Linked DNA regions of Yarrowia lipolytica. The protein of the gene in region 2 interacts with the protein of the main gene of each other region in a pairwise test. Links are inferred from orthologs where the notes say so. Each region holds a gene or a part of one and is shown on either strand. Other genes may lie near its edges.

What was found.
Region 1: the proteins of YALI1_B18741g (region 2) and YALI1_D11034g interact in binary tests that used the Schizosaccharomyces pombe proteins (3 or more experiments, as listed by UniProt). The link is inferred for Yarrowia lipolytica from reciprocal best matches to the Schizosaccharomyces pombe genes sid2 and mob1.

What each region holds. Positions count from the first base shown.
Region 1 is NC_090773.1:1,097,320-1,108,880, forward strand, and holds YALI1_D11034g (uncharacterized protein), read right to left. Parts: upstream 6,172-11,561; coding exon 5,497-6,171; downstream 1-5,496. Other genes in the region: YALI1_D10961g (uncharacterized protein), read left to right, coding at 1-1,406; YALI1_D11015g (uncharacterized protein), read right to left, coding at 2,349-4,256; YALI1_D11063g (uncharacterized protein), read right to left, coding at 7,097-9,055; YALI1_D11068g (uncharacterized protein), read right to left, coding at 9,492-9,554, 9,597-9,776; YALI1_D11087g (uncharacterized protein), read right to left, coding at 10,079-11,383. UniProt on the Schizosaccharomyces pombe protein: Has a role in promoting the onset of septum formation during the latter stages of mitosis.
Region 2 is NC_090771.1:1,863,934-1,876,443, forward strand, and holds YALI1_B18741g (uncharacterized protein), read left to right. Parts: upstream 1-10,221; coding exon 10,222-11,964; downstream 11,965-12,510. Other genes in the region: YALI1_B18645g (uncharacterized protein), read left to right, coding at 662-3,058; YALI1_B18687g (uncharacterized protein), read right to left, coding at 3,358-4,797; YALI1_B18707g (60S ribosomal protein uL10), read right to left, coding at 5,856-6,800; YALI1_B18727g (uncharacterized protein), read right to left, coding at 7,580-8,818; YALI1_B18764g (uncharacterized protein), read left to right, coding at 12,489-12,510. UniProt on the Schizosaccharomyces pombe protein: Part of a signaling pathway. Required for initiation of medial ring constriction and septation.

The DNA.
Region 1 (11,561 bases), on a different chromosome or scaffold from region 2:
AGTACCCCTACCGAGGCGATCCTCTCACCTGCGAGCTGCGATCGGGCCAGCTGGAGCGACGGTCCAAGTACCTCAAGAGCTACAGCCGGGCCTTCTACGTGTTGACCCCGTCATTTCTGCACGAGTTCAAGAGCGGCGATCGGGCCAAACACCCCGTACCGGTTATGTCTCTGGCGCTGGACGAGTGCCAGATTTCGGCCGACTCCAAGTCGTCCAGCGGGTCGCACAAGTTTGTGCTCAAGACCAAGCAGGGCGACTCGTCGCGGGGCCACAATTGGGTATTCCGGGTCGAGTCTGCTGACGCTCTGCAACAGTGGATGAAGGACATCCAGACCCTCACCTCGATTAAGGATGTGCGTGCACGAGCTCTAAAGTTTAATGCCCCTAGGGTTGCTCCATCACGGCAGCAGGTTAATGGCCACAGCAACAGTAACCAGCACAACCATACTGAAGTGAACAACGCAGTCCCAGCTAACATCAACAACGTTGACTCTGCACACAACGCTTCCACACACAGCAACGCATCCAACGCCATCCCCACAGGAATTGCCACCGCAACAGCAACCGCAACCGCAACCGCCTACCCCAACGACACAAACACCACTATCGCCACCGACCCAGTAGCCGATAGTGTCGACAACAACAACCCCCTGCCCACGTCTGCCGACTCCGAAATCCCTGCCCTACCCCATTCAGCTCGCGAAATGAGTGGATCTCTCCTGGCCTCGGCCCATCGAAAACACATGGAAGAGCCCCAGCAGGTGTTCGACGAACCCGACGAGTTCGAAAGCCCAAGCGAAGCCACCAAGCAGGACCCTCTGGTCGACGAAAAGTCCAACTTTGGTTACGACAACCCTCGAAACAGAACCATTGACGACTACGAGGAAAACCAGCATGTAGGCGAGGTGCCCCGGGTGCAGTCGCGACAAAACTCTCGAAAGTTCTCCGTCGACCAGGGCCCCGCCCTGCCCGGTCTGGCCGAGATCAAGGCTGCCCAGGCTGCCGCAGGAGCCGACTCGGACGTGTTTGAGTACGACAACGAGAACCCCGACGCCGGCAACACTCTCAAGACCGAAAAGGACGAGTTTGTGCCTGCCCACTCCGATCTGCCCGTCCATGTCGAGCGACGGCTCACCATGTCCAACCACAAGGAGGACGGGGACGCTGCCCAGAATGCCCCTCGAGACCACACCGAGGTGGGCGCTGATGCCCACGACGTGATCGAGCGACAGAGAAAGTACTCTGTGTCGTCCACGGGCAAGCGAGGCCCTCCCTCTCGAAAAGCCACGGGATCCTACGGCACTACTGATGACCTCAAGCCTTTGTCCGAGGCTCAGCCCGCCGACGGCAAGGGCTCTCTGTTCTTTGCCAACGGTCTTCCTGACACCACTTCTGGTGCTAAATAAATACAATAGGTACTTAGTTAATGAACGTATGACGTGTATTTTAGAACATGCATTGTGTATTGTACCAGCAGTATTTAATCGGTCACCCCATGTTTTGCTCTTCACCCGCCTTGGTTCTCAGAGCTTATTTGCGATGACGTAGCCACCCAAACCCCACGAAAAGGAACTTCAGGGGCACACTTAAAATTTAGATTGAGGGGTGAGACTGTAGTGAACTGGTCATTTGCGACCGGGTATCTGTTTTCCATCGCTTACTAAGCCATCCGTTCCTTTGCCGCCACTCAATGGCCTTGCTCCCGATCTTTTCTCAGTGCCTTGCTAACCCGTGCTATCTTTGATGCATCCCCAAGGGCTGTGTGTATGCCTAATCTCATGCAAGTCGTGCATCTGAGTGGACCAGCGCATAGGGTTTTAACGAGGAGTAAGATGGTGCGAGACGTGATGAAATGAGACACGGGAGGGAAAATGAGGGGTTTCCGAGACCGCAAACGAAGGTGAACCAGTGAGAAGGCCCCTTTAGATGACTTCCAACACTTCTCATAAGCTGTTATCATAATACTGGGGGTACTTGTAGTGTTAAACTTGCCATTGGAGTACACACTCCTAATTAGCCTAAATATTTCACCGAAGGTGACAGAAAAAATAAATATTAATGTAAAGTCGTACAATACAAGTACATACAGTATGTACAGTATGTACATAAAAGTGCCGATACGTACATACTGCAATTGTTCTACCAGCTGTGATTATTAGTCAGCTAGATTACACTTAGCTGGCCATAACCAGACTAAGAATAAAAATAGCTGGCTATTGACCCTGAAACACCAATACCCTCCCCAGCCTTACTTCAGTTTTAGATTATGTCATAGCGAATGGTGGTCCGCTTGTTATTTTGGTGTGGTACAAGCCTTTCTGTACTCCCTGTCTGCATGTCCTCCTCAATTAGTCAAAGTCGCCCCGGGTCAGTCGGTGGCCTCGTCGGATCTGCTCCAGCTTCTCGAGAATTCGCATTCGCACCTGCCAGTGGCTGCCAAACTGCTCGTTGGAGAACCGCTTCTTGACGGACTCTCGGGCTCGTGCACGCATGTTGTGTGTATCGGACTCGGACAGCTCAAAGGCCCGCATCAGAGTCTCTGCTAGAGTGCCAATAGGCTCGCCGTCGTAGCTGGGACCGGAGTCGGTTGTGGGGTCGGAGCCAGGACAGTTGAAGTGGAAGCCCGTAGGTCCAGGAGGAACCGCCTCGTAGTGAGATCGAATGGATGTGGACGAAGGCATGGCCGATAGAGTGCCACTGTTGCCAGTGGACTGGCCCTCGTAGGGGACCACAATGTCGCACTTGGGCCCTCCTGAGTTGTGGACCACGGGAATGAGACCGGCAGACATGTACTCGACCACGACAATGCCGAAATGCTCGTTCCACATGGCGTTGACTCCCATGGAGGCAGTTCGCAGGATGTCTCGCACCTTGTCAAAGGGGGCGTCCAGCACAAACGACACCGAGTCGGGGTTGACGAGATCACGTGCCTGGAGTCGCAGAAGGTAGACTCTAGACTTGTCGTCGTCGTTTCGTACAGTTCCCACAAAAGTCAGGTGAGGAGCGGGCTGGTTGGGGTACTTTTCGGTGTACTCCTTGTAGAACTTGTTGAATTCTCTGAGCACAATGTCGTGTCTCTTCTCCGGCCGGAACTGGGCAATGTAGACAATGTTAGGGCTTCGGGCAGAGGTCTCTTCCGACATGGCAATTTCAGAAAGAGCCTGGGTGCCACAGGGAGGGTAGACAATCTTGATGTGCTCGGCCTTGTGGTTGTACCACCACATGTGCTGCATATGGTTGTTGGTCCAGGACGAGTTGGTCATGACCACGGAGCAGTAGGAGCCGGCAAAGGTATAAGTGAGGGCAAACACACGCCAGTAGACAAGCTTGGCGACAGCCAGGGCTGCTCGAACGGGCGACTGTTTGAGAGAAACGGTTGCCAGCATGTCCTTTGAGATGACAGGGTAATGGACGTAGGCAGCAACAGGCACATGGGTGACCCAGGAGACCAGAGGGTAGGCAAAAGGGTAGCCCATGGTATCGACGAAGACGTCGGGGACCAGGGTGGAGATTCCGTGCCAGGCCATCCAAACGGAGCCAGCGGCCTGCATCATGAGTGTGAATCGGGGCCAGGTCTTAGGGTCCACTAGTCGCCGGCCTCTCATTCCAATGAAGACGATTCGTTTTCGCAGCTCTTTATCCGCGAGTTCGGTGACGTGGAAGTTTGAGACGGCCGCGTCGAGCACAGTGGACGGCGAGGTTCGGGTCGGCAAATCCTGTTCTCCGCAGTAGATGGCGCAGATGATGTTGTCGTCGTACATGAGGGTGTCTTTGACTGCAGCCCACAGCACACGTTCTCCTCCTCCTCCAGCGTTAGCGTAGGGATGGAAGAAGCCGTAGATGACTCGCCGGGGCGCTCCCGAGTCCTGGGCGCGGTTGCGGAACTCGGTGTTTCTGTCTTCGGGGCTGATGGCGATTTCGGAACGTCGAGAAACGTGTGTCACTGAGTAATAGGAGGGATCATTGGACTGGAGAATGAGCTGTCGTCGAACAGCGGCGGCCTGCCAGAAGCCAAAGCCGAACAGTGTGGATGTTCCGTTGGCCTGGACGCCCTTGACGATGCTCTTTTCCCAGTTTGCCGGCGGGGATCGCAGTTTGAAGGCCAGAATGGCTGACCACGCATACAGCGAAATGTATGAGCAGAGGGGCACGAGAATGACGGCCAGCAGCAGCAGCGCCGCCAGAGCGGCCAGAAAGTCTGCGTTCAGAACGACACGCAGGTCGTGCAGCGTGGGCAGATCCAGTTGCAAGGCCATGGCGAGTCGGGGTGGAGATGGCGTTGGCGTTGGCGTTGGCGTTGGCGTTGGCGTTGGCGCTTAAACGATATTAAATAGAGCCAAGCTAGATTTGGTCTTGGGAGTATGACGCCGTTGTTCTAATAATGTAGCTAGAATACGTTCTGATAGCACCAAAGATGGGCTTCTGATGGGCTAACAGAAAAAGGGCTACAATAGGACGATCACATGACACCAAGAGTGGGTTCCCGAGTCTCCTTCACCAGAGAACGCGTGATGATACCGACAATATCACTCCTCTTCCCGTAGGCGGGTTTCTGTTTACCCCGAATTAAAGCTTGTATGTGGATCCATGCATAATGTTCTCACACAATGCACTGAGTGAAAAGTCAAGTGAACCAAACTGCACCTAAGCTACTTACTACTTGTACGAGTACTGTATTAGGAATACTGCTGTACATAGACCTACTTCTGGAAGACCATTGACAAGAGCTACAGTATAGTGCTTGATGAGTCACAACTCATATCCTGTCCAGGTATACAACACGGACCTTGTCGTACAAGAGCTGTCTTCAATACACCAATATTTATGTCCTCACAAAGTCCTCTCGGCTATCGACACACAGCCGCTTCATGGAGCTGACAAGGAATCGTAATTGCACTTGTGTGGGGTAGAAAGAGAAAATAATGAGACTGAAAATATACAGGAAAGCATCCAGGACTCCCTAGATAAGTGGCATTTGTGTATGAATCCGGTACATTGTACTTGTACTTGTACTTGTACTTGCACTTGTACTTGTGCCACTGTCTACGCTCAAACTGACCAAAATCAACAATGCGTCGTTTGTAGATGAGACCTTCAAGCAGAGGTTCTAGACGTGCAGTATCCGGTGCATTGTACATAAAAATACAATGACATGCACCATAAGCAGCTACCTGCTCACATAATGATCATACTCTTACCGGTCTCTCGAATTGGTATCTCATTTGAGTGACTGACTCACCTCACAACAACCTTGCTATCTCCACTGACACCCCTAACATTCCATTTCGCACACACCGACAGCCTATACCATTCATATACCCATTAACTATTTGACTCTGTGTGTTATTAGTCAACATCCTTCTGACCTAGCCTAATATAAGGCCTAGTTCTGTGTCCTGAGTTGCTCATCGTGAGCATTCATCAGCCGAATCGTGCTGCCCATATCCATTAGTAGTGGTCCACTCCTTACCTACGGCCAGTCGCCACCGAAATCGCCTAAGACTTATCATCCAACAAGATCTGAATCAGCTCGTCCAGAGGAGCAAACTCCTTCTGGTCGACCACGCCAAACTCCTTGGAAAACAGCACAAAGTGCTTGAGCGACGTGTTGAGATGCGGCTGCAGACCCAGCTCGCTGATCTGGTCAAAGTGATGGCAATAGATGTGTGCGTAGACTCGGAACAGCCGCTTGAGAATTTGGGGAACCACGCTGGACACAAAGTTCTTGGGGAAGGGGGCGCCTAGTCTGTGGGGGAACACAGCCTCGTCATCGAGCTGAGCCTGGACCCACGACACCAGATGCTCAATGTACTCGGGTGCAGAGACTCGGGTGGGCTTTCTGAACTTTTCCGATGCGGCATTCTGCCACAGGTACTCGTACTCGTCTGTGGCTGTCATTCGGGGACACGAAGCTGGCGAACAGAAGGAGGTGATGGTTGAGTAGAGCATGTTGACCTGGTTGTAGAAGTCGACTGTGTGCACGGCCAGCCACTCAGCCAGATCCTCGCCTTCAGGGAGCTTGACTGCTTGGGCCAGAGAGCCTGCTCCTAGAGTGGTGTCAGCATACTGTCTGAGAAGATGTGCGGGAGGGGAAGAGGCCGTGGAGGGCTTGAAAGTGCGGGTTGTACGCGAGTTGTTGGTGTTGAGATGCAGAGATTGGAAGAACGACATTTCGACAATGTGTTGGGGTGAGGTTGTTAAGTCGATACTGCGCTTGTATCGTGGAACCGTGTCCGACAGTTGTGATACACTGTGTTTAGAATCCGAGATAAAGTTGGGAGGTGGTTGCCCCGGCAACGGGACAGTGGGGACAAGGTATTGGGGATCCAATATAGACGAAATAACAAGGATTTATGTATACAGACTGTTGAAATCGATTGTTGATTGTAATTTACTCATTACTCTTCGCCAAAACGACTACTTGTAGTTAGATTCCTCTGCACCCACATCTCTAGCGACGCTTAGAAACTCCTGCATTTGTTTCACTATACAGCTTGCTACAGTTGGAACTTTAGCGGGGGTGCTGTAATCGTGAGCATAAAAAAATAAAAATAAATAAAAAAAATGTTTTTTCTGTTTTTTTTTTGTGTAGGTGTAAAATATTAAATTGGATTAAATTGTATACTGGATTAGATATGGGTACTCGTATTTGTGCTTGTTATCAACTGATATTTAGTCATTTGTAAAGTAGTCCGAGGTCACATTGTATGTACAGTGTTGTAAATACTACGACGATGCTCTTTTATAAAGAAGAATACCGTACATGTGTTTTTATTTAAATACTGTATACTGTACCCTTTAGTTGTGAAAACTGGTTTGAGACTAGTTGACTGTGGGATGCATTTCCGTCGCTGAGATCTGAAATGTGTTTTACAAGATAGACTGTGAGGATACCATAATGACCCACTGATATCAACAAGTATCTTACTAAGTGAAGGGAGAGCTGCTACTGTCAAGAATCTGTCAAGTATATATAGTTGACTGTTTAGTTGAATTATAATCGGGTTGACGTACCAACATTTTGCCTGTTTTACACCTTTCCTATCATACCTATCTTATACTATTTACATCTGCTTGCTACACTCCACACCCCTCCTTACATTCGCTTGTAGAAGACACAAGTGGTTCCGTCGCCAGCGACAATCTGCTGCTGGACCTCGCAACCGTTGATCTTGGTCTTGGTCATGAGCTGGGTGTAGGGATCGGACTCGGTGGTGTGCTTGGTGATCAAATGCGAGGGTTTGGGGATGTTGTTTCGCTTGCCGTTTCCAATCTGCGAGAACTCGTTGCCGCCCCACAGGTACAGGTCCTGGGTAGTGGCAACGTCGTTGGAGTTGTCCAGAACGGCAGCCACGTGGTTGGGGCCCGTGGACATGTAGTTTACCTGGATGGGAACAACCTTGTTGAGCTTCTCGCTCCACTCAGAGGCATAGTTGATCTCCTTGATGGGCGTCATCTCAGCCTGCACATGCTTGAACGTGGCGTTTCCAAGCTGGCCCTTGAGACCGTCACCGAACGAGTAAATCACCTCGGCGGTGTCCTGCAACAGCTTCTTTCGCTCCGAGTTGGAGGCGGAGTTGTAATCATCAGACTGCACCACCTTGATGCCGGCAAACGAGGTATCTCCTCCAGCAAAGACTCGGGTAACAATAGCAGCCTGGTCCTTCTTGCAAATTCGGCCCAGGGTCAGCTGACGAGGCAGAGCAACGTTCTGCGACTCATAGGCGTAGTCCAGACCAAGCTGGCCGCACTTGTTGGAGCCAAACACCCACATGTTACCGTTCTGGTCTCGCACAAGCGAATGGAAGGCACCAGCAGCAATGTTAGTGACAACAGCATTTCGGAAAGATCGAATCTCGTACAGAGTTCCGGGTCGGGGAGCGGTGTTGAAGTGAGAGAACTTTGCAATTCCAAACTGGCCAGCGGAGGGAAGGGGAGCCTCGGTACCAACCAGAGTCTCTGAAAACTCGCCAGTCACGGGGTTAGGATCGGTCTCAACCTCCTCAATGGCTCCTCCGGTAGATGAAACAAACACTCGGCCCTTGTTGGACAGAGCCAGAAGATGGTCTTGTCCAGCAGAAATGTCACTGAGCTTCTCGGTGATGCCCAGAGTGGTATCAAAGTCCAGCTGACGGTAGGTGATCTTGGCTTCTCGCTTCCATCCGGGGATCAGACGCGTTCGGGTTTCTCTTTCCTTGGGTCCAGCCACCTGCAGCTCCTTGCTAACAGGGAACGAGTACACGGTTCCATCCTTGGACAGAGCATAGAGCATGTTTCGAGACTGGACGATTCTGACGGCGTCCTTTCCTTGCAGAGTGACCTCGGGATTCTTGACGGAGTGTGGGGCAAACCGGTCACCCCACTGGACCACGTCTCCGTTGTCCAGAATGGCAGCTCCAGAGCCATCGCCCAGAGTCACGTCTCGCAGCAACTTTCCTTCAAAGTATCGCAGTCGAACGGGAGATCGCACCAGCTTGGGGGTCTCGGATTCGGCGTTGTACGTGTCCTTGATTGCGTGTCCATCGTTATCTCCCCAGGCAAAGAGTCCGGGAGTCATTTCAGCAAAGGAGACTCCAGCAACCGAAGCCTTGCCCTTCTTTGAGGACTTGTCAGCCGCCGCCGCAGCAGCAGCAACGGCGTCGGCGTCTTCCTGTCGAACAGCGGCACTGGCAACAGCCTTCTTCTTCTGCTGTCGCTCCGCCACCTGTCGATGGAGTTCCTCGTCGGACTCAGAGTACGGCCCATACCACTTGTAGCCGAAGTAGACGCCAACTACCGAGGCCACAGAAATGATGGCCCAGGAAACGGCCTTCTCGTGCTTGGCTTGCTGCTTCTCCTCCTCGGAGGGATTGTAATTGGGCGTTCCGTCAAACCGCGGAATCTGAACTGTGGGAGGCGGAGGGGGGTACGATAGAGGTTTGCCCTTGGACTCGTTCTTGTGCTCGGCCATTCTGAGCACGGAAGTCGACAGAAACCGGGTGGAGGTCGATCTGGGCGCGGCGGATCTGGCCAGCGACGCCCTCAGAGCGCCAGGTACAGCTCTGTAGTGTTTCATTGAGTGTTTTGTTGCCGAGAGATAAAGTCTGGGGTTGCACTACACTTTTAGGCGGTCCAAAAAATAGTCTTCAAAATCATGCACTTACAGTATCTTGCAGCGACCATGAATAAGCGGTTTTGGCAGCACGCACGAGGTCAGTTGAGCCATTAAGCACCGTTAGTTAACCTTGGGTGGCGTGGTTTTGAAACTTTTTAAGAAAAAGTCAGAAAACGTACAAAATAAAAAAATAAAAAACAATAAAAAACAATAAGAATAAATAAAAAAAAGACAGGCAATCTGATCATGGAACACTATAGCGTCCCCGGGAGAGATGAAATTGATTATTTCGATATTATGTAATCACAACCACCAATCAACCAAACCAGAACTATACAATGCAATATCTGACTTGCTGGCTACTTGTCAGCCTTGCTACAAGTCGCTCCCAAATAAACTACAGCAACACGATCATCATCGCCTTACCATCTTCCCCAAGGTTTTGACTTAATTTTTTTCTCTCTCAAGCAACAGTCTCATCTTTTTGGCGGAGTTACTCTACCAAGAGGGATATGAGTTTGTGGGCTGCGATCGGAGTTATGTGGGCTGCGATCGGAGTTATGTGCCAATAATGCCGGTCTTGGGCTTCAGGCGATCTACAAGCTTGTGTCTTGACTACAAGTTGTAACAGTAGTACAAGTAGCGACAGTAGGAATACCCATACTTTTACTCTCTCCAACATGATTCTTAGATAACGCTCTGGTGTTGACAAGCCACAGCTAAGACGCAAGATTAACGGTGTTGGACTCGTCTTCACGTTACCATATGTACTTGTTGCTTGACTCTCTCCACTTCCACGAGCATTGCAATCTCTACCCAAGCACTCCAGTCCACACTGTGGTTGCGCCCGTCATGAAACAGCTCATTCGATACCAATACCACAGGCTACATTTAGTTTTCTCTTCCCTTCCAGGTGATGCAATAAATTAATAATTTACACAGAAGTATCGAAAGAAGTCCAGGATTTACAAGTGAATCTGTCCCTCAGACAGTATCCATAGCCCCCTTCTTCTTCTTGCCCTTCTCTCCAACACAGTAGCCGTTCTTGATCAGACAATGACAGCAAGCATAACCCCATTTGGCAGTCTCCTTATCATAGTAGCTTCCCCAAACAGAAGTGTGATTGCCTGGAAACACATCCTCCTCATACTTGGAAACAGCAATACCCTGAGCGTTCTTGGCACGGATCACTGTGGGCTTCTTTGCCGTCACCACAGAAGTGTATTCTTTGGGTCGTACTCGAACATGGTCTTGTTTGCCATACTTTTCCTCGAGCGCCCGTTTTTCGGCGTCCTTGGCTTTCTCGGCCTCCTCCTTGATCCGCTTGGCCGCAATAGCGGCGGCCGTGGGGTTGGCATGCAAATGGATCTGGTTTCCCAGCGCCGATTCAGCCTCGGCAATACGAGTAAGCTCCTCCATCTCTTTTCCTTCACCAGTCGTGTGTCTCACAAACATTCCGTCCTTGTCAATGTAACCCTCATCAGCAGTTCGAAACGTCCGACTGCCCGGATTGTAGACGGTCTCCGAGTTGAGATCTTTCAAATACACAGCCGTGTCTTCTCGCAGTCGCAATGTTCGTGTGGACTTTCGAATAGCCTCCTCCACAGCAGCAGCCTTCTCGGCATCGGTCTCAGCTGGGGCGTCTCCATGCAGCTTCTTCTGCAGCTCTTCGGTCATGTTATGTTCGTCGATGACTCGCTTGAAGTCTTCGGCGTCGTAGCCGTTCCATCGATCTCGTTTCGAATCCCAGCTCATGTGCGGGTTGGATATCACGTCGTCGGCCTGCAGGTTGTCGGCCTTGTATTTCGCACCCACTTTTCGTGGACGCTCCATGCAGTCTTTCTTTTTGTGCGTCATGGCACCGCAGTTTTCACACGCGCCCTTGCGGAACTTTTTGGGTCGCTCAAGGGAACTTCGATCCTGGCCTCGAGCGTACCACTCCTCCTTCTTGGAGTCCGTCTTGTCCTTCTTCAGATGGTCCAACGAAGACGCAGACGGGTCGTCATCACCCGCCTTAGCGTACCACGGCGCTGACGACATGAATCGCGGGATATACGGGTTCAAAACATCTCCTTCCTGGTTCGTCACAGGCGTCTGGGTTTTGCCCTCCTTCCGTAGCTTGCGGTCCTCCTCGTGCTTGAGCTCTCCCTCGGCGTCTCTTTTGGCCGACAGCCGTTTCTGCAGCTCCACCGACCCGTCCTGAAGTCCATCAAGAGTCGTAGCTGGCTTGCTCATGGTGCTGTAGTCTGTGCAAGTGACGATAGATGGAAATGTGTTGCATCCATGCATGCATGATTATTTATACTGCATGGTCACGTGACATCCCCAGAGACATAACCAAAACGCTGTACCCTGGATACTCCACCTTGGGCGAATGTCAAACAACGATGGCATATATATTGCTGCTGCATTTATCTTATATAATCGTCCACCTCCACTTGGGTACAGGAGATCAACTACTGTGTGT
Region 2 (12,510 bases):
CTGTGTACACTGACCTTTGGGGATACAAAGAGTGGCTAGCAATACTAGTTATAGAAAAGAGCGACTCAATAAAGCTGCTTAAATCCGATCCCAATTGGGTGGTTCATTCGCTTGAAAGAGCTTGAAAGTCCATCCGGAGATAGCAACAGACAAAAATCCGGTTTATGCAGAACAGCCAGACGTACAACAACAAGTACAATGAAAAAGAGGACAGCAAGGACATGTTGTCACAATTCACAGTCTGGCACTTGCTATTTATCTTGTCAGTCACTGCAAATCAAGTAAAGGGTCGTGAGACGGCATCTAGGCTACGTCTGGCTTATTGTAACTACCAGTACGAGGTGTAGTGCTGAGACATAGACAATACAACTCTGTACAGGTAGAGAGCAGCCTTCATGCGGGGTAGGGGAGGCATACAAGAGAAGAATGATACCCCCAACCACAAACAATTGTCCATTACAAACACATTCTCATCCTTACTTTTTTTCATATCACCCCTCTATCACCCATTCGAACCGCTCCACCATCCGATTGCTCCGAGCTTTAAACTCCACATCACAGTGCATGGTTGGTCTATAACTCTCAATTAGCTCACCACTTGTACATAGTCTCTCCACACACACACTCTTACACACCCAATTACCGCAACACACGTTTCAACATGTCTCTCGACCTAGCTACCAACGGCCAGCAGATCAAGGACGTGTACGGCGCCATTGTCAGCAATGACCCCGAGTTCCCCTGGGCAATCTTTGGTTATGCCACCTCTCCCACAGCGTCCTCGGCCACCATCAAGGTCGCAGCCATCCCTGAGTCTGACACTTCCACTCTGGCCGATTTCCTCGACGAGTTCGAGGAGGGCAAGCTGCAATACGGCCTGGTCCGAGTCCCCGACCCTCACTCGAAGCTACCCAAGATTGTCTACGTGGGCTGGTGTCCTGAGGGAGTCCCCGACCCTCGAGCCAAGGGTGTCTTCAACCCCCATCTCCATGCCCTTGGAAATCTCTTCCACGGCTACCACGTCCAGGTGACTGCCCGAGACCGAGACGATCTCACTGAGGATGTGATCCTGGAGCGGCTGGAGCGAGCCTCTGGTGCCAAGTACGGAGCCACCTCATCCAGAAAGCCCGGAATCTCGTCGGCCATCAAGACCAAGCCCACCTACACAACGCAAAAGTCTGGAGCCGATGAGGAGGACTGGGGAGACGCCCCTGCAGTGGAAACCAAGCCCGTCTCCAAGCCCACACCTGTTGAGTCGTCCTACAAGCCCGTCAAGGTTGACCTGGCCGAGATCCGAAAGAAGGGAGGACCCTCGACCTTCACGTCCGAGGGACGAGACGCCGACTCAGATCGAGGCATTGTCGGTGGCTCCTACAAGCCCGTCGGTAAAATTGACATTGCAGCCATCCGAGCCCAGGGCAAGGGACACAAGGAGTCCTTTGAAAACACCCCCATCAAGACGGACCTCGACAAGCCCAAGCCCAAGGCCACTCCTAAGCCTACCTCTAAGCCTGCCCCTGTCGCCGATGTTGAGGATGAGGACAACCAGAACGGGGACGAGGACGGCGAGCCTATGTCTCTCAAAGACAGAATGAAGGCCTTCCAGAAGCCCTCCAAGTCTTCTTCTACTCCCACTCCCTCCAAGAAGCCCCCTACCACCATTGGTGGAGACGACGACGATGAGGAGGATGAGACCCCCAAGTCTGTTAAGGACCGACTCAACGCTTTCTCCGGGTCTGGACGGCTCACCGAGATGCCCAAGCCCAAGATCGACAAATCTGCTATCCAGTCTCGATTCACACCCGCTGCCTCTCGAGGAACCAAGCCTCTGGCCCCCGCCGGTGATCTGTCGTCTCAGTATGGTCTCAAGACCTCAATTGTGTCTGGTGGATCCCGAGATTTTGCCTCTGAGAACGGTAAGACTCCCGGTCAGATCTGGGCTGAAAAGCATGGAAAGACTCCCCAGCCTGACGTGGCCGTGCCTTCGTCTACCTCCAACGTCTCTTCTGCATCCGACAAGTTCTCCAAGCTGTCTGTGAACGACGATGATGAGGAGGACAAGAAGACTCCTGCTTCTTTCGGTGGTGATGACGACGAAGATGACGAGCCCCACGCATCGGTTTCCGCTCTTCGAGGTGCCTTCAATAAGCCGGCCGTGCATGACGAGCCCAAGAAGTCCACCCCCGCCCCTGCTTCTCGAACCATTCCTCCTCCCCCTCCTTCCGCCTCTCGAGTAAACGACGACGACGATGATGAGGACGAGGACGATGCTCCCGCTGTCTCTGTCTCTGCTCTCCGAGGCGCCTTCAACAAGCCCGCTGCTGCCGACGAAGATGATGCTCCCCCTCCTCCTGCTCGAACAGTGCCCCCGCCTCCTCCCTCTGCATCTCGACCCCCCGCTGATGAGGATGACGACGATGAGGACGAGCACAACAGCTTCTCCAAGGGCGCCTCTGCTCTTCAGGCCGCCTTCTCTGCTGGTGCTGGTACCGGAGGACCTCCTCCTCCTCCTGCTCGAGGAGCTGCCAAAGATGAGGAAGAAGATGATGCTCCTCCCCCCATGCCTGCTCGACACGCCCCTCCTCCCGCCAACGACGATGATGCCCCCCCTCCTATGCCTGCTCGACATGTTGCTAACGACGCTCCTCCTCCTCCCATGCCATCTCGACCTGCTGCCGATGAGCCTCCTGCTCCCGCCCTGCCTTCTCGAGGCGGTGCTGCTGCTGCCACTCCTGCTGCTGTTGTCTCCAGCAAGCCCTCTGCCACCGTGGAGTACGATTACACTAAGGATGAGGAGGGTGAGATCGATCTCGTGGAGGACGAGATCGTCACCGACATTGAGTTCCTGGACGAGAACTGGTGGAGCGGAACCAACTCCAAGGGTGAGTCCGGTCTGTTCCCCTCCAACTATGTCAGGCTTAAGGATGGTGCTGTGCCCACCATTCCCGATCCTGCCGCGGGCTGCCGGGCGCTGCTGCCGGCGCTGCTGCCGGAGCTGGCACTGGCCCCTCTGCCATCGCCCTGTACGACTACGACGCTGCTGAGGACAATGAACTGAGCTTCGCGGCGGACGATATCATCACAGATATTGAATTCATCGACGAGGACTGGTGGACCGGATCGCTCAACGGCAAGCGAAACCTCTTCCCTTCCAACTTTGTTGAGCTCCAGGATTAGCCTAATCGTTCTATGATGTATAAATAATTATGACTTGATGGATTGAACTGATTGTAGATTACTGTGTGAATAGTCGTAGTGCTGTGTTTTGTAAACTTCTATTATAAATTACCACGTCATACTGTGTGTCTATAAGTTAGCATGCCCGTCTGGCTTCCGCGAGCAACAAGATTGTTGTGTTCAAATCTTGGATCTAATAATCTCGCTGAAGAGACGCAGGGTAGCTGCACCCTGTCCCTGTTGAGTAAGCCCTCGTCGAGCAACAATGGCAGCATGAGAATGGATCACGGTAATGTACACGGCGTACTTTTCCCAGCCTAGCTTGTCCATGTTCTCAATCATGCTGAGTACGTCCTCGGAGAAAGGCGCGTTGTTCGCCCAGTTGGCCAGCAATCCTCGGTCTCCTGTGTGTCTAGCCGCCTCCATAGCTTCACCCAGACCGACCACCTTGGTTTCCGACAAAGCAGGCGTGTCGGTGTTGTTAAGATCATCACCTAGAATGACGTCTTCGACGGCAGCTTCAGTGATTCCAGCAGCCATGACATCAGCCTCTTCCTCAACCTTGGACGCGTCCGTTTTAGAAACGGGGGAGGATTGTTTGTCGGTGTTCTCAGTCTTCTCCCCCTTACCGCCAACCTTCCTCTCGTCACCCTCATTCAACCACTCCTCGTCAAAAGTCTCCATCTTGATACTTTCGAGAATCTCACCCATGAGTGCCTTGTCTCCTTCTCTCAGAAACTTGCTGACTCGGTGATTTGAGTTGTTGGTGAAGAACATGGACGCAATTAACACAGCTGTGATAGCTAGGGGACCAACAGTAGCCGCAAAACTCCAGAAGATAAGCTTCTGGCGAATGTGTTCGTGGTAGACGGGGAAAGGAAGGGACCGTTTGGTGGTTCGTTTGAAGTCAATGATTCGAGGCGAGTGGCTCCAGCCGTAGCTGTCCACCACGGGTTCTTGCAGCTTGACTTCGTGGAACTTGAGATCGAGCCATCGTAGGTTAGCAAACGGATTAGCAGCCGTGATAAACGCCGTTGGGAAGTGCACCGTTCGGTCGTTTCGGCAATTGGCCAGCAGCACCCGGTTATCAAACATCTCCAGCGCCTTATATGCGGATGAGGAAGGATTACTCATGTCAGCAAGTGTCGGGTCCTTGAGAAACAGGTCTCGTCCAGTGTTCCCGAGATAGGTACTTCCAAGAGTGTTCATCCAACTGAACCAACGTTTGTCAGTTCGGTGGAACTTGGAGCCCAGATGCGGCGTGGCTATGGTGGAGAACAGAACGGGCTTGACCTTGTCGAAGAAGCCCTCGTCCAAAAATATGCCACAGAGATACCGCGCAATGAGGCCACCAAGAGAATAGCCCAGTATCGAGATGCGGTCAAAGGTAACACCCTCGTCATCAGCGTAGCGGCGAATCACCTCCTTGATCTCCAGATAGCATCGACGCGCGCATACTTGCACTCCATCGTAGGTGAGAGTACCGTGGTTACTCTGAGTGGCATAAGCAACCATGTCTCCTCCAGCCTTGACACCGTAGGTGGTGTCCAACACCTCCTTTACCGCGGCCATGTGGGTTGCGCTTCCCCAGAGACCGTGAATGAGCACAAACAAATGCATGTCTTCTTGTCCCGTTGCAAAAAAATGAGAGAAAAAGTCGTCTACTTGTGCCTAAGCCAGCTTGGGCCACAGACGCATGTGATTAAGTTGGTTCACAACGGTTAGCGGGAAAACAAAAAATTACGCGAATCTCAGATAGACTCTGGGTTACAGTAGTGTATATTGACAGATGGCAGAGGTGGATCAGACGGAAGTCGGCAGAGGGAAGAGCAACTGAGAGCAAGGCGTGTTATCCGGAGAGCGAAGGGGTTGGAAAAACGGGGTCTAACTACATAAGCTGTGTTGTTGCATGTGATTCTATTGCATTCAATCCATCAGATGCTATGATATTTTACCCAGAAGATGGAAAGATCTCCTCCTGTACCTGCAACTGAGTGATTGGTGATGAGTGCATTGTGAAGAGGGGGTACAAGTACGAGTGTACCGTATTGGTACGAGTACTACAAATGTCTTACGTGCAGAACTCGATGCGGGGTAGAGTCAGTATAAATATAATCGAATTAACACTATATCTGCCTTCCTTCCTTCTGAGCGAATTTTGCTGTTCTTGTTCTGACTTCTGATACCATGTTGTGTCAGAAGTAGGTTTGAGAAGAGGGACTCATCACACCATGGCAAGTAATTGCAAGTAGTACTGTTATGTTATTATTAATAATAATAATAATAATAATAATAAATAATAAAAAAAACCTGTGGGAAAAAAATCCTACGGAATGGGACAAAGCTCACACTGAAAAAGAGATATTGTACTGGGCGTATAATAGTCGTATAGTATAAATATATTATTCAAATAAAAGAGCATATAGATCGTACAAGTTCATACTTGTACTGCACATAATAAATCAACAGTTCAAATGTTGATACTTTTACTGTAGTGTTAAAGATCGTATTCATATTACAAGTACAGTACATACACAACGTTACAGGTAGCACACTCCACTCAGCTCAATGCGGGTCTTAGTCATAGTAGGAGGACACAACGTTATTATAAATACACAGCGCAATTCTACAATCCCAGGGTTTACAGATAAGTAGTAGATTTTTAACTAACTAAGAGCTTAGTCGAAAAGACCGAATCCCATGTCGTCATCCTCAGACTCCTCATCCTCCTCAGCGGCAGCAGCAGGGGCAGCCTCAGAAGAGCCGGAAGCGGCAGCGGCGGCAGGAGCAGCAGCGGCGTAAGCCTCGGGGTTGGCAATTCGGTCCTTGATGGCCTCAGAGCCCTCGAAAGTGTAGTCAGAAGCAATGGACAGAGCAAGAACGTTCTTGTAGTTGTTGATGATGCAGTGAGACACGGCGGGGAGGGTGGGGTAGTTGGCGGCAAGGGAGATGGCGGTGATGGTAGAGATGGCACCAATGACGTTGGAGATGAGCTCCTCGTCGGTGATGTCCAGAATCTCGGAACCGAAAACCTGGCCGTTGTCGTAGACCTGAACAACAGTCATTCCGTAGGTGAAAGGAGAGATGTTCAGCATGTTAAGGAGGGTAGCCTCGGAGGGACCGACCTTGACATCCTGCTGGAGGATCTTGACATCGGAGGTAATCTCAATAGTACCTCGAGAAATCTTGGTGGGGACACCGAGAGCCTGGAAGAAAGAAGTCTTGTCCGGAGGCATTCCAGTGTTGGCGGCCTGGATCCAGACGTCCTTAGGGGCAATGGCACCGGCTCGGGCAGGGGCCAGAACTCGGTTCTCGAGGAGAACCTCTCGGATCTCCTTGAGGTCGTCGTTGGTGAAAACGAAACCAACGTTGCCTCGGCAGAGGGGCATGAGAAGCTCAGCAGCCTCGGGGAGCTCCTCCTCGAACTCTCGGAGAGCTCGTCGGACCATGGTGTTCTTACCCATGAGAACGACTGCTCGGCCTCGGAGAGTCTTTCGGATCTCATGCATCTGCTGAGAAGAGACGTTATCGACGCCGACGACGAAAATGGACTTGTACTCCTGAAGCAACTGCTTCAGTTTGGAGAAGTACTCGGTCTTCTTGATGCTGGTGCTGCCTCCCATTTCGAATTAGTTTGATAGGATATTTAAAGACAAATTCCGCTGAAGAGAAGAAGAGAAGAAAAATTTCACCAGCGAGTTATGAACTCCCAACGCGGAGTCTGAGTGGGTATGCTCAAACTTACGCAGTGCTGTGATATACTTCACCAATTGGGCTGTGTCCCCTAACCTTGATATCACGTGAGTGGGAGAACTGGATAAGGTCGGTTTTTTATGTAAGCGAAAGCGATTTTTGATGCTGCGAGAATAGTTACTTGTATTCTACTTACCTTCCCATGTCTTAAATTCACCCCTCTACTCAAATGGCTAAAATTTCTACTTTTGTTGAGATCATCGCACCCCACCATCCACGTAGGCACGCATATTTTACTAATCCGTACGTACAGCTTCAAACAAGCTGAAGTTTCGTTTTTTAAGACATACAAAACTTCGAAGATATGAAAAAGCACGTAAATAAACGTAGTTAACGTAGTGAGCGGTTGATTAGAGAGCTTGTCTCAAGTTTCTTCACTATTTGCACACATTAAGCATCATCAAACTACTATGTAGTATGTACTTGTATATATGTACGATCTGGGACACTCACTCCCCGTACAGTATGTATGTATAGAGTAGTCACATAAGGCGAGAGTCCCGCACAGTATCCCAGTGAGTCCACGTTGTCAGCGCGGAGTACACATAACTGAATGTAGGATGTGGCCAGCACAACATACATCACTATTATATAACGGTATCATATTCAATGATGCTTAGTCGTCAGTGCGTCTTCGCTTCGTGAGTTCTCATTCCTGGGTCCCAGAGGCACCTCCAGATCCTCGTTTTTGACTAGAGTCCCGGCTGCGAGCACCCTGGAAGTCGCCCCTTGGTTGTCTTCGCTTCTTGTGGTTCTGTCCACGGTTGTTGTACATTCCCTGTCTGTTGTGGGCTGCTCGAGCACCTTGGTTGTTGTCTTGGTCATACCGGCGAGCGGTGTATGTCGGTCTGTCAAACCCGCTGTGAGAAGGTAGATACTGCTGGTTGTTCGGGGACCGTCCTCGACCCTGCAAAGCCGGTTGTACAAGCATGTCCATAGGTCCAACAGTCTGGCCAGTCATTTCAACGTCTTCAGACAGTTTCTGTCGCTCGTATCGGTCCGAGTTGGGGCCAAGGACTGCCTCCTTTGCCAGGGAGTCTGCTTTGACTACTACAGCAGGCAACATTCGGGGGATCAGCTCCTCCTCCTCTTCCAGGTTACCAATCTTGATAAAACGGTTGCAGCCGTCCAGCTTGCCGAGATACTTGACGTTGGTTTCCAGAGTGTCGTAGTCATTGGCATACTCGATGGGGTAGTCAATAGCCTTCTTTCGACGTCTCTTGTTGTGAGGGGTTCGTGGATCGTAGTTGAACTTGGTCCCCACGCTGTGTTCCTGGCGAACAACGGGATCACACAGAGCCTGGAACACCATCAGGTTGAGATAGGCATCATTACCTGCATTGTGGAGAAAGGCGTGAGGAATGCAAAATGCCTCCAGAAGATAGGTGAGGTTGCCCTTGCCCTGTTTTTTAATACAACGCCAGATCTTCTCAGTGTCGATGATGGGCAGCTCAGGAATGTGGAAGTCCATCTTCTTGAGCTCGTTGAGGTCCCCCGAGATGCAGTGGCCCACATAGTAGACCGGGTCCTGGTCAAAGCCGGCAGTAAGGCCCGTCAGAAGTTCCTTCCAAACTGTTCGAATGTCGGCTAGAGGCGCCACTTGCGACGTACCGTAGCAAAAGAAGTCTCTATGGTCCGGGACGTAGTTACCGTTTCGGTATCGATCCGACGATCTCTCCTTGACAACAAAGTGCTGGGCCGAGATCTTAGGGGCTGCGTAAGGCTTGTCGGGCTGACCAATCGGATGGAACCGCATCACGGCCACTCCGATCTCCGTGATCACTCCAGCATGATGTTCTGCGGTTTCGGTATCGATGCAGATAAACACTCCACGGTTGGCTGGAGGCTGCTGTAGAGTATTGTAGGGTGCGGGGATTCGTAGTTGCATGTGATTCCAATGTGTTGGTGGGCCGTCTATGTTCAGCAAAAGTCGTCTTGGATTCCGTCGGAGACGTTAGTGTACTTGAAGTCCGTCTACTTGTAGTTGTAATTAGCAGTCTCTGAACGTGTCGCGTAAAATTAATTTTGGCTTGCATATTGGGAGTGGACACAGGTTGATGCACGCTACATGTGGGTCTGATGAGTGGACGTGTCACAGACTATTCTTGGGTGTCACGGCTGTTGCTGGTTTCAAAAAAACTCTGTGATTGGATGCTACGGTACGTGTCGCACTTTTCCACGCACTTTTCCACCTGCTGGAACCAAACGGTCGGCCTTGTGCCTTGCATGACAGTGAGGTTGTGAGTTTAAAGAGGTTCACTAAGCGAGTCTGTCAGGTGTCTGGGTACCTTGATGTGTACATGTTGTCAGTGGAAACTACTTGTAGTGATGTTCGGATGCTGCCTGAGTGTAATAATATACATCGAACGCGTACTTGTAGTGTCGTGTGTCCTTGTGCTCTGAATATCTGAATATCTAACTATCACGTCCCCACACAAGTACAAGTACCTTGTGTACATCCTGTACACTCGACATTAACGGGCAGTCTGTTTGCCTTGACTGCAAAATAGCCACTCCAACAAGAGCGACAATAAGCACAAACAATACTATTATTTCGCGCATCAGTTTGGCTCTACTGCACGTCTAGGTGGAGTACGTGTACAGTATTTTACAGCACGAGCACTACGCTGTATAGTACATACTCATAATTGTATTCTCTCAGAGCATCACTATTGTTTCACACCTCGATTCGAGCTGTGTGGAGGCTTCTGAACAACTAACTTAAGAGGAGGAAGAAGGCAGACGTGCCATGGTTGGCTATATCGGTATTATAGGCGCTGGGATTGGTAATCGCACCCTGTCAATGTATTGTACAATAGCCCCCGTTCAGTTACCCTTCTCTCTATACACTGCCTTGTTGTTCCTCCTTTTCTTCTCTCCTTGCTCGTCTCCCACTTTAACTCCAAGCTTGAAATTACAGTATGTTTCATCAGGCTGAACCATGGGGACCCGGTCAACACCTGTCATATGGAAGCTATAAAAAAGACTTCTTTGGTTAATTTTCAACTGAAAATAAAATAAAACCAGGCCACGCAAACACTGTTATATTTCCCCTCCCCCTTCCCCAGGCACCCCTTTTATCTCCACTTTGACACCACTTTGACTCTGCTTCCGTCTCCTCGCGTCAACCCGCGTTGCCCCAGCAACCTTGTCCCAATTAGGAGTAAACACAACACCATCCGACTGCACGCCTATCCTTATGTAGCTAATACTTTAGAGGAGAGGCTAGCTACGTCGTGGTAAACTATTCTGCTCCACACTTCGCCACACATCTTGCAACACAACCACACCATGGTATCGTTTAAAGACTCCCCGGTCAAGGGGGCCATGAGCTCTGTGGAACAAAAGCTCCAATCTCTGCGAATGCCCCAGTCTCCCATGCGAGGAGGAACCTCTCCCCCTCGAAGCCCTCTTCGACACGAGGCTGGAAGTTGTGACCCCGACGAGACCACCGCCATCATTTCCAACATTGAGTCTCTCAACATTGGCCGACCTACTGACAAGGAGAACTGGGCTCCTCAACAGCAGGGCCACCACGGCAGCCAGGTGACGGCCAACACACACTCGCCGTCGTGGACTTCACGTGACTACGAAAAGTTCAATGACCCTCAGACCAAGCGACTGGTCAACGTCACCCAGTTGTACTTCTTCGATTACTACTTCGATCTGCTGACTTACGTACACGGCCGTCAGCAGCGTCTTGGAAAAGCCAAGGCTGCTCTTGGAGGCGTCCCCCAAGCCGAGGCTGAGACTCAATGGAAGTCGTATGTCGGCCGAGAAAGAGCTCACCTGCGAAAGCGTCGAACCCGTCTCAAGCACGGCGACTTCCAGATCCTTACCCAAGTCGGCCAGGGAGGTTACGGACAGGTGTTCCTGGCCAAGAAGGCCGACACCCGGGAAATTTGCGCCCTCAAGGTGCTTAACAAGAAGCTGCTGCTTAAACTGGACGAAATCAGACACATTCTTACCGAACGAGACATTCTAACGGCTGCCCGGTCCGAGTGGCTTGTCAAGCTGCTTTACGCCTTCCAGGACCAGGAGTCTGTCTACCTCGCCATGGAGTTTGTCCCTGGAGGAGACTACCGAACTCTGCTTAATAACACCGGCATCCTCAACCCCAGACACGCGCGGTTCTACATCTCCGAGATGTTCGCATCACTGGAGGCCCTCCACAAGCTCGGATACATCCACAGAGATCTCAAGCCCGAGAACTTCCTCATCGACTCGGCAGGTCACATCAAGCTGACTGACTTTGGTCTTGCATCCGGAGCAATCTCCAAGGACCGAGTTGAAAGCATGAAAATTCGTCTTGATGCCGTCAAGGATGTCCAGGTCACCCATAGATCGCTCACCGAGCGACAGAAGATGTACCGGTCTCTGCGAGCCTCGGACATTAACTACGCCTCCTCCATTGTTGGCTCTCCTGACTACATGGCTCTGGAGGTTCTGGAGGGAAAGAACTACGACTACACAATTGACTACTGGTCTCTGGGCTGCATGTTGTTCGAGACTCTGGCCGGCTACCCTCCTTTCGCTGGAGCTTCTCCTGACGAGACATACTCTAACTTGCGACAGTGGAAGAACGCTCTTCGGCGGCCCAAGTACGATGATGGTCGATACGTCTTTTCGGACCGAACCTGGGATCTCATCCAACGACTCATCACCTCCGCTCGATACAGACTGCGGTCTTTCGACGAGATTGCCAAGCACCCCTACTTTGCCGAGGTTGAATGGGAGACTCTGCGAGAAAAGACTCCTCCCTTCATCCCCCAGCTCGACTCGGATGTTGACGCTGGCTACTTTGATGATTTCTCTAACGAGGCTGATATGGAGAAGTACCAGGAGGTGATGGCCAAGCGAACACAGGTCGAGAACCTTGCTGACAAGGGCAACCCCATCCCCCACCGAGCATTTGTCGGCTTCACCTTCAGGCACTCTCGAAACCCCAATAACAACATTCTGGAGGAGACCAACAAGGGCAACACTCACAGCAGGCGAGAAGTTGGACGAAGCAACTTTGGAACCATGTTCTAACTGGATGTTCTTTCACTCGCACTTGAAATTTCTCCCACATCTTACTAAATAGCTCGCATAGATTCCAGTGGTCAAGCTACCACATCAGTTCCGCGTTCCGCGTTCCGTTCCTTTCTAATATATCTGAGATTAACATAATATTAAAGCATAAACACCAGGACTCCGAGACATTCATCGTCTTAGCGAACAACTTACCTGTAATTACTATTCGGATATTATCACCTCAAAGATCAATCAACTTCATCGACCGATCTAAACGTCCCTTGCAGATCATGCACGTGTAGTTTAGCAGTCTTATTATTGCAGAGGGAATATGGGTTGATTTTGTGGTACCATAAATAATTTGTGTGGCATTCTTTTATCTACCTGTATGTTAAAAAGTTGATTTTCAACTTCAATGAGTCTTTCCGCCCACATTGACCACTATTATCACCCTCTCATGCTCGCTTTCTCGACACATCTGATGTTGTCCAACACCAACTTTAAGCTGACCTCTTCACCAAAGCTAATTTGCTGATGCCAACATGTCGCGCGGGATCCAGAAAC